Linked DNA regions of Oryctolagus cuniculus. The protein of the gene in region 2 interacts with the protein of the main gene of each other region in a pairwise test. Links are inferred from orthologs where the notes say so. Each region holds a gene or a part of one and is shown on either strand. Other genes may lie near its edges.

What was found. The genes of interacting proteins can lie anywhere in the genome.
Region 1: the proteins of AP2B1 (region 2) and NEU4 interact in binary tests that used the Homo sapiens proteins (3 or more experiments, as listed by UniProt). The two-hybrid records come from large-scale screens. The link is inferred for Oryctolagus cuniculus from reciprocal best matches to the Homo sapiens genes AP2B1 and NEU4.

The regions. Positions count from the first base shown.
Region 1 is NC_091434.1:77,225-84,499, forward strand, and holds the end of NEU4 (sialidase-4), read right to left. Parts: 5' UTR 6,879-7,275; intron 6,856-6,878; exon of another isoform or gene 6,434-6,855; intron 5,066-6,433; 5' UTR 5,046-5,065; coding exon 4,845-5,045; intron 4,731-4,844; coding exon 4,475-4,730; intron 3,898-4,474; coding exon 2,936-3,897; 3' UTR 2,665-2,935; downstream 1-2,664. UniProt on the Homo sapiens protein: Exo-alpha-sialidase that catalyzes the hydrolytic cleavage of the terminal sialic acid (N-acetylneuraminic acid, Neu5Ac) of a glycan moiety in the catabolism of glycolipids, glycoproteins and oligosacharides.
Region 2 is NC_091448.1:38,972,277-38,980,104, reverse strand, and holds part of AP2B1 (AP-2 complex subunit beta), read left to right. Parts: intron 1-3,894; coding exon 3,895-4,060; intron 4,061-6,150; coding exon 6,151-6,249; intron 6,250-7,828. UniProt on the Homo sapiens protein: Component of the adaptor protein complex 2 (AP-2). Adaptor protein complexes function in protein transport via transport vesicles in different membrane traffic pathways.

The DNA.
Region 1 (7,275 bases), on a different chromosome or scaffold from region 2:
TGTGACATGTGTATGTGGCTGTATGTGTGTGTCTTGCACAGGCGTGTGCTGCATGTGTATGTGTGTGCAGTGTGCAGGCATATGTATGCATGTGTAACACGAATATGCACCTGTGAGTATACAAGGGGTATTCAAGTGGTGCGTTATCTTTTAATTCCATTTTCCACAATTTTTTGTTTTTCTAAAGATTTATTTATTTATTTTGAAAGTCAGGGTTACAGAGAGAGAGAGGAGAGACAGAGATCTTCCATCTGCTGGTTCACTCCCGAGATGGCTGCGACAGCCAGGGCTGAGCCAGACCAAAGCCAGGAGCCAGGAACTTCTTCCAGGTCTCCCATGTGGGTGCAGGGGCCCAGGCACTCGGGCCATCCTCCACTGCTTTCCCAGACCATTAGCAGGGAGCTGGATCAGAAGTGGAGCAGCCAGACTTGAAACAGCGTCGATGTGGGATGCCGGTGTCACAGGCGGTGGTGGCTTTACCCGCTGTGCCACAAACTGTTTGAAGTTCCCTTCCACATATATTTCTAAAGCAATGAGATTTTCAACTCCACTCATAAAAAAAAAAAAAAAAAAGCACAAATTAAAGTCAGACAGCAGTGGTCTGACAGTGGCCTGAGGACCAAGGCTGTTGGCAAGGGGCAGCAGACCTGGAGGGGACGGCCCCATCAGGCCCTGGAAGGAACCCTACCCCAGGGCCAGGGGTTCACCAGCTGGCCCTGAGTAGGAGGAGGAGGGAGCTCTGCAGGGCACAGGTGCAGTGAGTCCTGGACGAGCCCGGCAGCGGGGGGGGGGGGGGGGGGTACAGGACAGTCGTGGTCCCAGAGGAAGGAGGTTAGGAGCAACTTGAGCACCAAAATACCAGAATTTAAAGAAGAAAAAAAAAAAGCCAAGCCGGGGGAGGAGGAAGCGGTCTGCCGGGCTGGCGTCCGGGGCTGGGGGTGGGGGTGGGCGCCAGCCCAGGGGGCGCCGTCAGCACTTTGCACGCCTTCCGGGAACACACTCATTGTTTCCGTCCCTCCGGGGCCCATGTCCCATGTGTCAGCGCTGCCAGCCCCACCCACAACCCTGCCTCAACCCAGCTGCTGAGCTGCAGCTCCTCAGTGGCCCTGGTGTGGCCAGCCTGGACATGGGGGAGCGAGCCTCCGGGCTGAGCCACAGCGGGGGGGACCCAGAGCATGAGCCCCCAGCCCAGCCTGAGCCCTGCCTTGAGGTGTTTGGACAGGGACACTGTCCCACCACACCCTCTGCCCACTCCTTCCTGGGCATCGCAGGTGGGCAGGGACTGGACACAGGCAGGGGGCCCGTGCCCAGCACTGCTGGATGGAGTGGGAGCCCTGGCTGGGATCCTGACACAGTACCCAGGGTCGGCAAGTCACTCAGTCCATACCAGGGCAGAGAGAACCATTGATCAGGCCACGTGGAATCAGTGTGCAGTATAGACAGAACCCCCTTGTCTGCAGGAAGTTAGAGGTGCAGTGTAGACAGACCCCTCCTTGTCTGCAGGGAGTTAGAGGTGCAGTGTAGACAGAACCCCCTTGTCTGCAGGAAGTCAGTGTGCAGTGTAGACAGAACCCCCTTGTCTATAGGGAGTCAGTGTGCAGTGTAGACAGACCCCCCTTGTCTGCAGGGAGTTAGTGTGCAGTGTAGACAGACCCCTCCTTGTCTGCAGAGAGTCAGTGTGCAGTGCAGACAGAACCCCCTTTGTCTACAGGGAGTCAGTGTGCAGTGTAGACAGACCCCTCCTTGTCTATAGGGAGTCAGTGTGCAGTGTGGACAGAACCCCCTTGTCTATAGGGAATCAGTGTGCAGTGTAGACAGACCCCTCCTTGTCTGCAGGGAGTTAGAGGTGTAGTGTAGACAGACCACCCTTGTCTTCAGGGAGTTAGAGATGCAGTGTAGACAGACCCCCCCTTGTCTGCAGGGAGTTAGAGGTGCAGTGTAGACAGACCCCCCTTGTCTGCAGAGGTGCAGTGTAGACAGAACCCCTTGTCTGCAGAGAGTCAGTGTGCAGTGTAGACAGACCCCTCCTTGTCTGCAGGGAGTCAGTGTACAGTGCAGACAGAACCCCCTTTGTCTACAGGGAGTCAGTGTGCAGTGTAGACAGAACCCCTTTGTCTACAGGGAGTCAGTGTGCAGTGTGGACAGAACCCCTTGTCTGTTGGGAGTTAGAGGTGCAGTGTAGACAGACCCCCTTGTCTACAGAGAGTCAGTGTGCAGTATAGACAGAACCCCTCCTTGTCTACAGGGAGTCAGTGTGCAGTGTAGACAGAACCCCTTGTCTGCAGGGAGTTAGAGGTGCAGTGTAGACAACCCCTTGTCTACAGGGAGTTAGAGGTGCAGTGTAGACAGAACCACCCTTGTCTGCAGGGAGCCAGTGTGCAGTGTAGATATACACCCCCAGCCCATGGTGTCTAGGCGGACTCGAGCCTGGGAGAAGTAGGGATTGGAGGGTCCACTGCAGGCCCCTCTGGCCTCCCCGACTGGCTCTCACACAGTCGCTCTGCCCCTGTGGTGCACCCCGATGCTTCCCCACAGCCTCTGTCCTTGGGCAGCCCCCTCAGCCCGTGTCAAGCCAGCTTCTCTAGCAACACACTGGCTGGGGAGGGGAAATTTGGTGGGGGTCCAAGGCCCTCCCCATTTGGTGGAAAGAAACACCCACCTGGACTCTCACCTGTTTATTCAGCATTTGTGAGCCAGGGTGTGAGAAAGAAGACTCGCCGCAGCCATCCCCGGGCCCGGGCTCTCTGAGGTCCCAACGCCCGCTCAGGCAGCCTCAGAAGGAAGCCGGCCATCACCCAGGGTCAGCTGGTCCCCAGCCCGGCCACCCCCACGGCTGCCATGAGAGCCGCCCCAGCCCTGCCAGAGCTCCCTCCCCCTCTCCCAGGGTTCTGTCCATGCTGGGGTGACCCCGGCCTCCCACAGCCTGCGTCGGCCATCAGGAGGACTGGCAGGTCCCGGAAGGCTTGTCCGTGCAGCTGGGCGGCTGGCGGCCGGGGGGAATGTTCTCCAGGACTTCGTCCAGCGAGAACAAGCAGAAGGAGAGCTCCTCGTAAGAGGCCCTGGCCCCACTCTCGAACAGGCAGGCGAAGGCCGGGGCTCCCGCAAGGACAGGCCCGAGGGACGCCAGGTCCGAGTAGCCGCTAGGGCCCTCGTAGATCACCCAGGGCACCGTCCAACTGCGGGGGTCCAGGGGGGTGCGGCTCAGGCGGACCCCCATGTGGAGCCGAGCCCTGCGCCCCGTGGGGTGTGAGTACAGCAGCCAGGCAGGCCTCTGAGGGGACACCGCAGAGGCTGCAGGGAGCCCCCCAGGCCCCACCGCTGGGCCAGATTGTCCCAGCCCAGCACTCCGGGCCTGCGGGAGGCAGGAGGGCCCGCAGGGCACCTGGGGTTCACAGGGGCCTCCAGCACCAGCCTCTGGGGCTTCCTGGAATCCAGGACAGAGGTGCACACAGTGAGGGAGGCTCCTGGTGCCTGTGGACGCTCCGTCACCCTGGGGTCTGCTGGGGGGTGGGGCTGGGAAGCCCACGATGCTGCCCTGGCAGCCCCGGGCCGTCTCGGCAAGGGCAGGCACCAGCTCCCCAGCCAGGAAGGAGCTGCCCCCGTCGGTGCTCAGGGCCTGCACACGGCTGCCCAGGGGGCTCCGGGCATTGCAGTAGAGGAGGCTGTCCCCCAGTGCGGCCAGCTGGCACTCGCCCGAGCGCAGGTTGGGCACGAGGCCCCCGTGGCGCCAGGTGCTGCCGTGGTCGTCACTGTAAAAGGCGAAGGAGTGGGGGCTGGTCCGGCAGATCTTCCCAAAGCACTCGCGACGGTCCACATGGTAGGTGTAGGCAGGCACCAGCAGGCGGCCTGAGTGCAGCTGGACACCATGGCCTGGGCCCACTGCGAAGGTGGCCCAGTCTACAGAGGGCAGAGGTGGAGGTGGGGGTGGAGATGGGGGCACAGGAGGGCAGCGAGGGCACATGCCTGGGATTAGGGCAGCGGGCAGGCAGGCCGCCCCTCCACACTCCACTCTGAGGCCTTCCTGGCTGGACAAGCCTCCCATGGGCATTGCAGGAGCCCAGGAGCCCACTGAGCCAGGCTCTTGCCAGCCCAGAATCAGGGTACCTGGTATGAGTGATGCCCAGATGGACGGAGCAGCAGAGGGCGGAGCCTCAGAGGGGAGGTGCTACAGCCCTCCAAAGTGTCAGAGCTCTGGGGGAGGGGGCAGCAGCAGGGGAGGGAAGCCTGGGGCTTGGGCCAGGCCTGGGCAGGAGTGCTGGGTTTGGGGGAGGGGATGACCTCTACAGATAAAGACCTGAGAGCCTGTGGTTCAGCTGTGGCCGCTGCTCCTGCCCTGCCCCAGGCGGCCAGAGGGTGAGGAAGGGATGCTAATGTTGGCTGGGACTGAGAAGCCCGGGGGTGATGGACAGTGCCAGAAAAGGGTGGACTGGTAGGGCCTCCCACACATGTGGACTGAGGGACCCCCGCTGCCTACCCTGCACAGCGTCGCCAATGGCCTCCTCGGTGAGGTCCCGGGCGCTGCTCCAGGTGAAACCGGCGTCGCGGCTGGTCACACAGCAGAGGCGGGCGGCGTTCCTGCCTGTAGTAATCTGAACGGCCTCGGACGTGTGGCCCAGCACGGCAATGAAGAAGAGGAAGATGGTGCCGGTGCTGGTGTCGTGCACGGGGCAGGGGTTCATGGAGCGGTGGCCTTGCAGGGCTGCAGCATCCAGCACACACAGGGCACCCCACTGCAGATGGGGGGGGCTGTGCTCAGGACTCCCAGACCAAGGCACCCTGCCAGCCACCCTCAGTCTCCCTGCATGCTGCCCTCTCCTGGAGCCCCTGCCCACCCTATCGCTCACCCGCACAGAGCCCCTGGCCAGCGTGCCCCTCCTCAGCACCAGGCGGTGGGCATGGGAGTCATCCGGGCTGAGCCGCTGCTCCGCGAAGGCCAGCAGGGTGGGCCCAGGGGGCACGGGGAGCAGTGCAGGCACGCGGTAGGTCAGGCCGGTCCGCTCCCGCTGGAACAGCACGGTCCGGGTGGGGACACGAGGGGGCTCCATGCTCTGCTGATCACAGCAGGCTGCAGGGAGCTGCATTGAGGATGGGGCACGACAGGTACAGCCATCCCCCATCCCGGCCAGCACCCAGGCCCCTCCCTGTGCGTGCCTCGGGGACAGCCCTGTCTGCAGTTCCTTCACCCCAGGGAAGCCACTCCCCACACTGACTTTTCCCCTAGTGCTTGTGGAGCCAGCCCCTCCTGTCAGCACACGGAGACACACACAGGGACACACATGGACAGACAGACACACACACAGGGACAGACAGACACACACAGGGACATACAGAGACACATGAGGACACATGAACACACAGCAACACACAGGGACACACACAGACATGCAGGGACACACAGGGACACACACATGGACACACAGAGACATAGACAGACACACAGGGACACATGAACACACAGCAACACACAGGGACACACAGAGGGACACACACAGACATGCAGGGACACACACGGAGACACACACACACAGACACACATGGGCAGACACACACAGACACACAGGGACACATGAACACACAGGGACACATGGATACGCAGGGACACATGAACACACAGGAACACGCACACAGACACACAGGGACACACAGCAACACACAGGGACACACAGACACAGAGGGGCACACACAAACATTCAGGGACACACATGGAGACACACACAGATGGACACATAGGGACACACAGGAGCAGACATACAAAGACACACACAGACACACAGGGACACATGAACACACAGGGACACACAGACAGAGGGACACACACAGAGACACACAGGGACACACAGAGGGACACATACAGGCATGCAGGGACACATGAACACACAGGGACACACACAGACACACAAGGACACACTGGGAACCTTTGGCCAACCCAAAGTAGGGGGAGGGGTGGGGTGGGAATGGACCCCAAGTGGCTCCCAGGTGTGCCCTGAGTCCCAGGGGTGCGCATGCCAGACTCCTAGAGGGACCCCGAGGGCCACAGGGCCACAACCACTCCCCACCGAGCCCTCCCAGCGAGAGGAGCCACACGGCTGGTGAGTGTGGACTGCAGCTGGAGACAGCAGCAATGGAAGGGAGATGAGAGGCCCCCAGGAGCCAGGGCACATGCAGGACAGAAGCTGGGGCTGGAGGCCAGGTGGGCTTCCTGGAGGTGGGGGGGGGGGGAGGAGTATGGCAGAAGCTGCACATCACTCAAGGTCGGGAGAGCAGGTGTGGGAAAAGCCCTCCCTCCCACGGCCACCCTCAACCCTGTCCCTCAGCCACTTCCCAAACCTGGTGTTCAGTACAGCACCAGCAGGGCTCCTTCAGGGGACACGTGTGACCCCCCTCTTCTAGCAGCTGCTCCCTGACCTTGCATACCCACCTGCAGGGCCCTTACCTGGGCACCTGAGCAGCACAGGAAACGGACACCCCCTGCCCAGCACGGGCCCAAGACAGCCTCAGCCCTGTGAGTGGGCCCCAAGTGAGCCCCCAGCACAGAGCAGTGCCAGGTGGAGGCGTCTGGGGCGAGGTCAGCTTGCCAAGGCCACCCCGCCAGCCTGCTCAGCTCAGCCAGCCCAGCAGGTGCAGGGCCCTATCTGGTTTACAGAGGCGGATCCAGGCCGTGAGAGGGTGCCCAGTCCGGCACATAGAGGGGGAAAGATGCCACAGACGAGGAGGACCAGAGCAGTCGGGCCCACAGCCAGCCACCCCGGCCAGGCCACAGCCAGGCCATACACAGAGAGAAACAGGAGGAGGCAGCAGAACCCCACAGAGCCACTGAAGCACATGGAGACAGCTGGGCCCCGTGTGCTGCAGCGTGGTGTGAAGGGATGGACACTCACCTGAGGAGAGAGCCTGGTACACGCTCGGCCGCCAGCCCCGCAGCCTCGTCCTCTGCCCCTGCCCACCTCAGCCAGCCCCGCAGCTGCGGCACAGCTCCGGGCCAGGGCAGCATGCGGGCGCTCCCTCGGCCCAGTCCGCTCCGGGCTTCTGTGAGCGGCTTGCTGTCTCCTAGCAGCCCCTGCTCAGCACTCAAAGGGTGATTGTGTCCGAGCGAGAAGCAGGTGTGGGGTGCCACGTGTCCCTCCAGGCTGAGCGGGCACAACTGACACATTCTGCCCACCCTTGGCTGGCTCCCCAAAGCCCAGGCCCACACTGGCAGCCATCCTCTCTCAGCACAGAGGGACAGCTGAGGTCTCAGAGGGACAGGGCTGCCCCACACTCAGGGCCTCCTGGCTG
Region 2 (7,828 bases):
CACTTGGGCCATCCTCCACTGCACTCCCTGGCCACAGCAGAGAGCTGGCCTGGAAAAGGGGCAACCGGGACAGAATCTGGTGCCCCAACCGGGACTAGAACCCAGTGTGCCGGCGCCGCAAGGTGGAGGATTAGCCTAGTGAGCCGCGGCGCCGGCCGAGAAGTACTCTTTTTAACTAAAGTTTGAATTTTCACTCTGCTTTATTACTTTAAAAGAAATGAAAACCTGCCTGAATATACATGATAAATTAATATATTTTATGGTTAACATAACCAGATTCTTTGTTTTTAAAAAAAAGCATTTTGTGACCGGCGCCATGGCTCACTTGACTAATCATCTGCCTGTGGCGCCGGCACCCCGGGTTCTCGTCCCGGTTGGGGCACCGGGTACTAGTCCTGGTTGCTCCTCTTCCAGTCCAGCTCTCTGCTGTGGCCCAGGAGGGCAGTGGAGGATGGCCCAGGTGCTTGGGTCCCTGCACCTGCATGGGAGACCGGGAGGAAGCACCTGGCACCTGGCTCCTGGCGCAGCACCGGCCGTGGTGGCCATTAGGGGAGTGAACCAATGGAAGGAGGACCTTTCTCTCTGTCTCTCTCACTGTCTCTAACTCTACCTATCAAATAAAAATTTAAAAACATTTTGTTTGTACTGTATTTTTATATTATTTTTTAGTTTTTTAAAAATTTATTTGAAAGGCAGAGAGAGATCCCCCATCCGCTAGTTCACTCACAAATGCCCAGAACAGCTAGGGTTGGACCAGCCCAGAAGCCTGGATCTCAATCCAGGTCTCCCACATGGGTGGCAGGGACTCAATTACTTGAGCCGTCATTCACTGCCTACCAGATGCACATTAGCAGGAAGCTGGAATTGGGAGTAGAACTGGCAGTTGAACCTGCACACTCCAATATGGAATTTAGACATCCCAAATACCAGCTTAATGGCTGCACCAAATGCATAGACCCCAACCAGAATCTTTGATGGTGAAGTTGCCGTTAACGAGAATACCTAGGGGTGGCTATCGAGGCATAGCTGTTAAGCTGCCCCATGGGAAGCAACATCCCATATCAGAGTGCCTGGAATTGAGTCCTGCCTCCACTACCAATTCCAGCATTCTGCCATTGTGCACCCCGGGAGGCAGCAAGTGATGGCTCAAGTACTTATGTCCCTGACACCCATGTGAGAGACCTGGATAAAGCTTCTGGCTCCTGGCTTTGACTTGGCCCAGTCTTGGCTGTTGCAGGTATTTAGAGAGTGAAACAGCAGATAGAAGATCTCTCTGTCTGTAGCTGTGCCTTTCAAATGAAGTTAATTAGTTAATTAATTAAAAATAGGCCAAATCAGTTTGCTGGGAATGCAGTCTAGGTCTCCCACATGGATGTCAGGGACTCAGCTGAACTGTCACCTGACACTTTGCAGGGTGTGCGGCAGCAGGAAGCTGGAATCTGGAGTAGAGCTGAAGCTCAAACCCAGGGCACTCTGATATGGGATGTTAGTGTCCTAGGTTAGATGATGAAAGCAAGCAATTGAAGAATCTGAAACAGTGAAATAACAATGAAATCTCATTTTGCTTTTACAGTAATAGAGATAGCTTTGCTGAAGCTCCTGATTAGTCTTAAAGATAATGTAGTAAGTTGGCTTGGTGGTATGCTCAAGAATTAGTGGAAGGGCAGGCTCTGTGGTATAGCCGTAAGAATGCTGCCCCCAGTGCTGGCATCCCATATGGGTGCTGGTTTGAGTCCTGGCTGCTCCACTTCCAATCCTGCTCCCTGCTATGGCCTAGGAAAGCAGTAGAAGATGACCCAAGTCCTTCAGCCCCTGCACCTGCATGGGAGACCCAGAGGAGGCTCCTGGCTCCTGGCTTCAGATTGGCCTAGCTCTGACCATTGTGGCCATTTGGGGAGTAAACCAGTGGATAGAAGACCCATCTCTTTCTATCTCTCTTTCTCTCTCTCTGCCTCTGTCTCTTTGTAACTCTGCCTTTCAAAATAATTAATAAATCTTTTAAAAAAAGAATTAGTAAAAATATTTTGGCAAAGTAATGGTGTATTAAGCATTGTATATATTTCTAAAAATTTTAGAAATGGTGTTTTTGAAGAAGAGACCATATATTTTTGCCATTCTCCCAGAAAAGAGAAGGATTTTTTTTTTTTTTTTTTTTAAGATTTTGTTTATTTGAAAGGTAGAATAATAGACAGAGGGAAAGACAGAGAGAAAGGTCCTCCATCCGCTGGCTCATCCCCAAATGGCTGTAGCAACCGGCGCTGGGATCATCTAAAGACAGGAGCTAGGAGCCTACTCCAGGTCTTCCACGCCAGCACAGGGACCCAAGCACCTAGGCCATCCTCCACTGCCTTCCCAGGCCACAGCAGAGAGCCAGATTGAAAGAGGAGCAGCCAACACATGAACTGGCACCCATGTGGGATGTTGGCACTGCAGGCAGAGGCCCAGTCCACTGAGCCACAGCACTGGCCCCCTGAGGATTGGGTTTTTCAATTTCTTAATTAAGTATGATGCTGTATTAGTTACATAGTATGAAATAAGAAGACAAATGCATTTTGTTTTTGTTATTAAGGGGTCATGACAGTTCTAAGAAAGCAATCAGGAGTCTGGTTTAATCAGTGGAAGTAGGGCAGACAAGTGTACTATTCAGTTGTTTGCTTCTAATTTATTATATGTATCATTCTGATGTTTACAATCATGTTAGCCAGATAGATGGTTTTAACATGTCTATAAAAATAATAATAAATTTTTGAGTTATTTCTTCCTTTGGAGAAATATTTTTGTTTGTGCTTCGAGAAGAAAGAACATAACCATACCTGTTATAAAAAGGAGAGATAAGGGGCATTGTGGCATAGGAGGTTTAGGCAATGCTAGCATCCCCTGTGGGTGTCAATTCATGTACTGGCTGCTCAATTTCTGATCCAGCTCCCTGCTAACTGCTTGGAAAAGTAGCAAAAGATTGCCGAAGTGGTTGGGCCCCTGTACCCCTGTGGGAGACCTGGAAGAAGCTCCTGGGCTTCATCCTGGTCCAGATCTGGCTGTTGTGGCCAATTGGAAGATCTGTCTCTCCCTCTCTCTCTGCAACTCTGCCTTTCAAATAAATAATTTTTTAAAGGAGAGGTAAGTGGATTAAGGGACAAAATTATCTGAAAATTGTTGTTTTCTAACTCCATTTTTCTAAAAGTAAAGATTTCTCTTCCTCTCTAGAATGAAGTCAAATGGAATAATAGGAAAATTCTCGATCTAGTTGTAAGAAAGATTACTAGAATACCAAGTAGTTGTAGTATCTTAACAACCACAGGTTTATTTTCCCTTGAGAAATAATACCTGATGAGTTTTAATAAAAGTTTATGAGTTAAGTCTTAAAGCATAATTGAACAGCTGGCATTGTGGTATAACAGGTTAAGCCACTGCCTGCTATACTGACATCCCATTTGGGTGCCAGTTTGAGTACCGGCTGCTCCACTTCTGATCCAACTCCCTGCTAATATGCCTGGGGAAGCAGCAGAAGATGTCTCAAGTGCTTGGGTCCCCACACTCATGTGGGAGACCTGGATGAAGCTCCTCACTCCTGGTTTCAGCCTGGCCCAACCCTGGCTGTTAGAGCCATTTGGGGAGCAAACCAGCAGAAAATCAATCAATCAATCTCTCTCTCTCTCTCTCTCTCTCTCTCTATCTGTAATTCTGCCTTTCAAATATAATAAAATAAATCTTTTAAAAAAATTGAAAGCTAATTATAATCTTCTGACTTAATACTTATATATTTTCTTAACTATAAAAGCTTTTCTAGTTTGGTGGCTTGTTTTAGGATCCCTTGTTCATGGTTTGCTTTTAACTTTAACTCTGAAATGTGTTCTTTGTTTTGTCCTCAGTAACCATAGTCTCTTGTTGCTTCAGGTATGAAAGTATCATCGCCACTCTGTGTGAGAACTTAGACTCCCTGGATGAACCAGATGCTCGAGCGGCTATGATCTGGATTGTAGGAGAATATGCTGAGAGAATTGACAATGCAGATGAGTTACTGGAGAGCTTCCTGGAGGGTTTTCATGATGAGAGCACCCAGGTAAACTTTCAGCCATCCTGTGTCCTGTGTCTGTGGGAAGACTTCAGAAAAAGTAAAGATTTGAGTGTGTATGTATTTATGTATATGCTCAGGTTGAGCATCCTGTACCCCAAATGCTTAGAACCAAGAAATATTTCATATTTTGAGTTTTTTCAAACTTTGAAGTATTTCCATGTACATAATGAGATAAATATCTTGGGGATGAAATCCAAGTCTAAACAGAAAATTCATTTATGTCTCATATACCTTATACACATAGCCTAAAGGTATTTTTATAGAATGTTTTTAGCATGCATGCATTTTGACTGCAACCCATCACTTTTTTTTTTGACAGGCAGAGTGGACAGTAGAGAGAGAGACAGAGAGAAAGGTCTTCCTTTTGCTGTTGGTTCACCCTCCAATGGCCGCCGCGGCCGGCACGCTGCGGCCAGCACACCACGCTGATCCGAAGGCAGGAGCCAGGTGCTCCTCCTGGTCTCCCATGGGGTGCAGGGCCCAAGCACTTGGGCCATCCTCCACTGCCTTCCCAGAGAGCTGGCCTGGAAGAGGGGCAACCGGGACAGAATCTGGCGCCCCGACCAAGACTAGAACCTGGTGTGCCGGCGCCGCTAGGTGGAGGATTAGCCTATTGAGCCGCGGCGCCGGCCCTGCAACCCATCACTTTAAGTTGGGTGTGGAATTTTCCACTTGTGTTGTCATGTCTGTGCTTTAAAAGTTTTGGATTTTGGAGCATTTCAGATTTTTGATTTTCAGATTAGGGTTTCTCCACCTGTAGCATGTTGATTTTTCATCCAAAAGGGATGACCCTTTTCATTTGTATACTGATTTCTAGTGTAATAAATTTAGACCAGTGGTTCTGAAACTTTAATGAGGATTAGAAGCACCTGGAGGCTTTTTAAAGCCTCTGGACCTCTGGTCTCCACCATGTCTGACTCAGTAGGTCTGAGATAGATCCAAGTACTTGTATAATTAAAAGGTCCTGGTCCAAAACCTCACTTTGAGAACCACTGGTTTACAGCCTAAGTCACCAGTTTTTATTTCCTATAGACTAAGAACGATCATACATTTCTATTAGTAGTGGTTTGGCTCAATACAGCAGGGATTTTCACCTCCAACTGCAGGGAGAGGGAGAGGGAAAGGAAGAGGGAGAGGATAGACTCCTTCCTGTCGCCCATCACTCTCCCCTACCACAGTTAAAGCTACAAGGCTAGAGAAGCAGACACATCAGTAAGCTCCTTGGTATTTGTACTCACAGCAAATAGAAGTTCATGTGTATACCCCACCATAGTGATTTTAAGAGACATAATACAAGAAATGTGTATACAAGCCAGTAATTTTGTGACTCAGTAGCTGTGATCTGACATAATTCTACTGCCTTGGATGTTGCTCCAGTATGACAGATGATTCCATAATTGTCTCAAAATTGTAGCTTTTCATAGCACTAAATAATAAAAGACTTGGTCAGGAGCTAGTTTTATAGCCATCAGTATTTTAGCATGTATTATTTTAAAAGATATTTTTATTTGAAAGGCAAAGTGAAAGAGATCTTCCACTCACTGGTTCACTCCACAAATGGCTACAACAGCTGGAGCTGGACCAGGACAAAGTAAAGAGCCAAGAACTCCATCCATGTCTCCCACATGGATGGCAAGGACTTAAATACTTAAGCCATCATCCAGTGCCTTCCCAGGCACATTAACAGGGAACTGGATCAGAAGTGAAATAGTTGGCGATTTGAACCGGCCCTCTTATGTGGGATGTGAGCATCCCCAGTGGCTGCTTAACCTACAATGCCCACCTCCAGTTATTTTAAAAAGTACATGTGATTATCTGGCTGAGAAATGAATAAGGAATTTTTGCTGTGCAAAATGTAATTTCAGGATAGAAGGCTAGTGAGTTTTCAGTTGAATACCCTTGTTTTTGAAATGAATATCTTTGACTGTTATTGTTGAATTAGCTGAGTTTCAACTTTTGTTTCTTAACCAAAATTAGAAAGGACTTATATTGGTTCATAATTGATAAGATACCACTTTGGAAATGATGACAGGAAATACAAATGTCTTCTGCTTTATCAAATTTTCTCTATTTAGGTGCAGCTTACTCTGCTTACTGCCATAGTGAAGCTGTTTCTTAAGAAACCATCAGAAACACAAGAGTTGGTCCAGCAGGTTTTGAGTTTGGCAACACAGGTAAGAAATCTGGAAAAAACATGGATTGATATGTATTATTTGAAATTATAGAAAATTATTATACTTGAAGATTCACATGGGGACATTTTGTTTATTTGAGAGAGAGAGAGACTGTTCCCATCCACTGGTTTACTTCCCAAATCCCTGGAGCAGGTCTCTCACATGGGTGGTAAGCACTCTTACCAAAGTCAACGCTGAGCAATCCACTGCAGCCTCCCAGGGTATGCATTAGCAGGAAGCTGGGTTTTGAAATCTGCACTGAAACTTCAACTTAGGCACTCAGACATGGGGTGCACGCATCCCTAGCCAGCACCTTAATGGCCACACTAGATAGCCATTTCCATTTGAGGAAGTTATAATTGAAAGAGATGTAAGATTTATTTATTTACTTATTTTTTATAAAAGGTTTATGACACATTAGCATGGAGCTAGCTTAGAAGCAGAGAAGCCAGAACTCAAACCAGCATTCATATAGGATGCTGGCATTGTAGGCAGTGGTTCAGCCTGCTACGCCACAAAGCCGGCCCTAAGATACAGCCTCTAGATCCTGTTAAAATATTAAAAGTGTTGCTCCTTGGAGCAGGCATTGGGCGCAGCAGGTAAGATGCCACTTGGGGTGCCTCATTCCATATTGGAGCACCTGGCTTTAGTCCTGGCTCAGCTTTCAATTTCAGCTTTCTGCTTATGTGCACCCTGGGAAGCAGTAGGTCATGTCTCAAGTAGTTATGTCTCTGCCACCAGTGTGGGAGGCCCATATTGAATTTGAAGCTCCTGGCCCAGCCCCAGCTGTTGCAGGCATCTGGAGAGTGAACCAGTGGATGGAAGATCTCTGTCTTCTGTCTGTTTCTGTCTCTCACTGGCTTTGAAATAAATAAAAACAAATAAAAGTTTTTTTTTTTTTTTAATTTATTTGACTGAGTTAGACAGAGAGAAAGGTCTTCCTTCCATTGGTTCACCCCACAAATGGCCACAATGGCCAGAGCTACACTGATCCGAAGCCAGGAGCCAGTTGTTTCCTCCTGGTCTTCTATGCAGGGACAGGGGCCCAAGCACTTGGGCCATCCTCCACTGCACTCCCTGGCCACAGCAGAGAGCTGGCCTGGAAGAGGGGCAACCGGGACAGAATCCGGCGCCCCGACCGGGACTAGAACCTGGTGTGCCGGCGCCGCAAGGTGGAGGATTAGCCTAGTGAGCCGCGGCGCCGGCCTGAAGGATGTATTTATGTCAAAATAACATTGAGTTTGATAATACGTTGTCCTGGGTGACTTTGCTGCACTTTTCAAATGAAAGTATACTGTAGAGATGGTAGATGGCTCAACAAGGTCTCATGGTGCTAGCTGCTATAGGGGTTGCCCTTTTCTTGGAGATAATTTTAAAGCACGCATGCTGCTTCCTTGAATTATTTGATATTTTTGGCCTTCCTTAGAATTACATGTTATTTTTGGTTAGAAGAAAAGAGGTTCTGATGTTAGGAATGTGACACCTGGCCTTAAAGAATAGGTCACCATTTTGGATCCATAAGAAATCAATATACTTTTTCTAGGGTAGCTAGCGTAATGATTATTGGTACGTCATGATT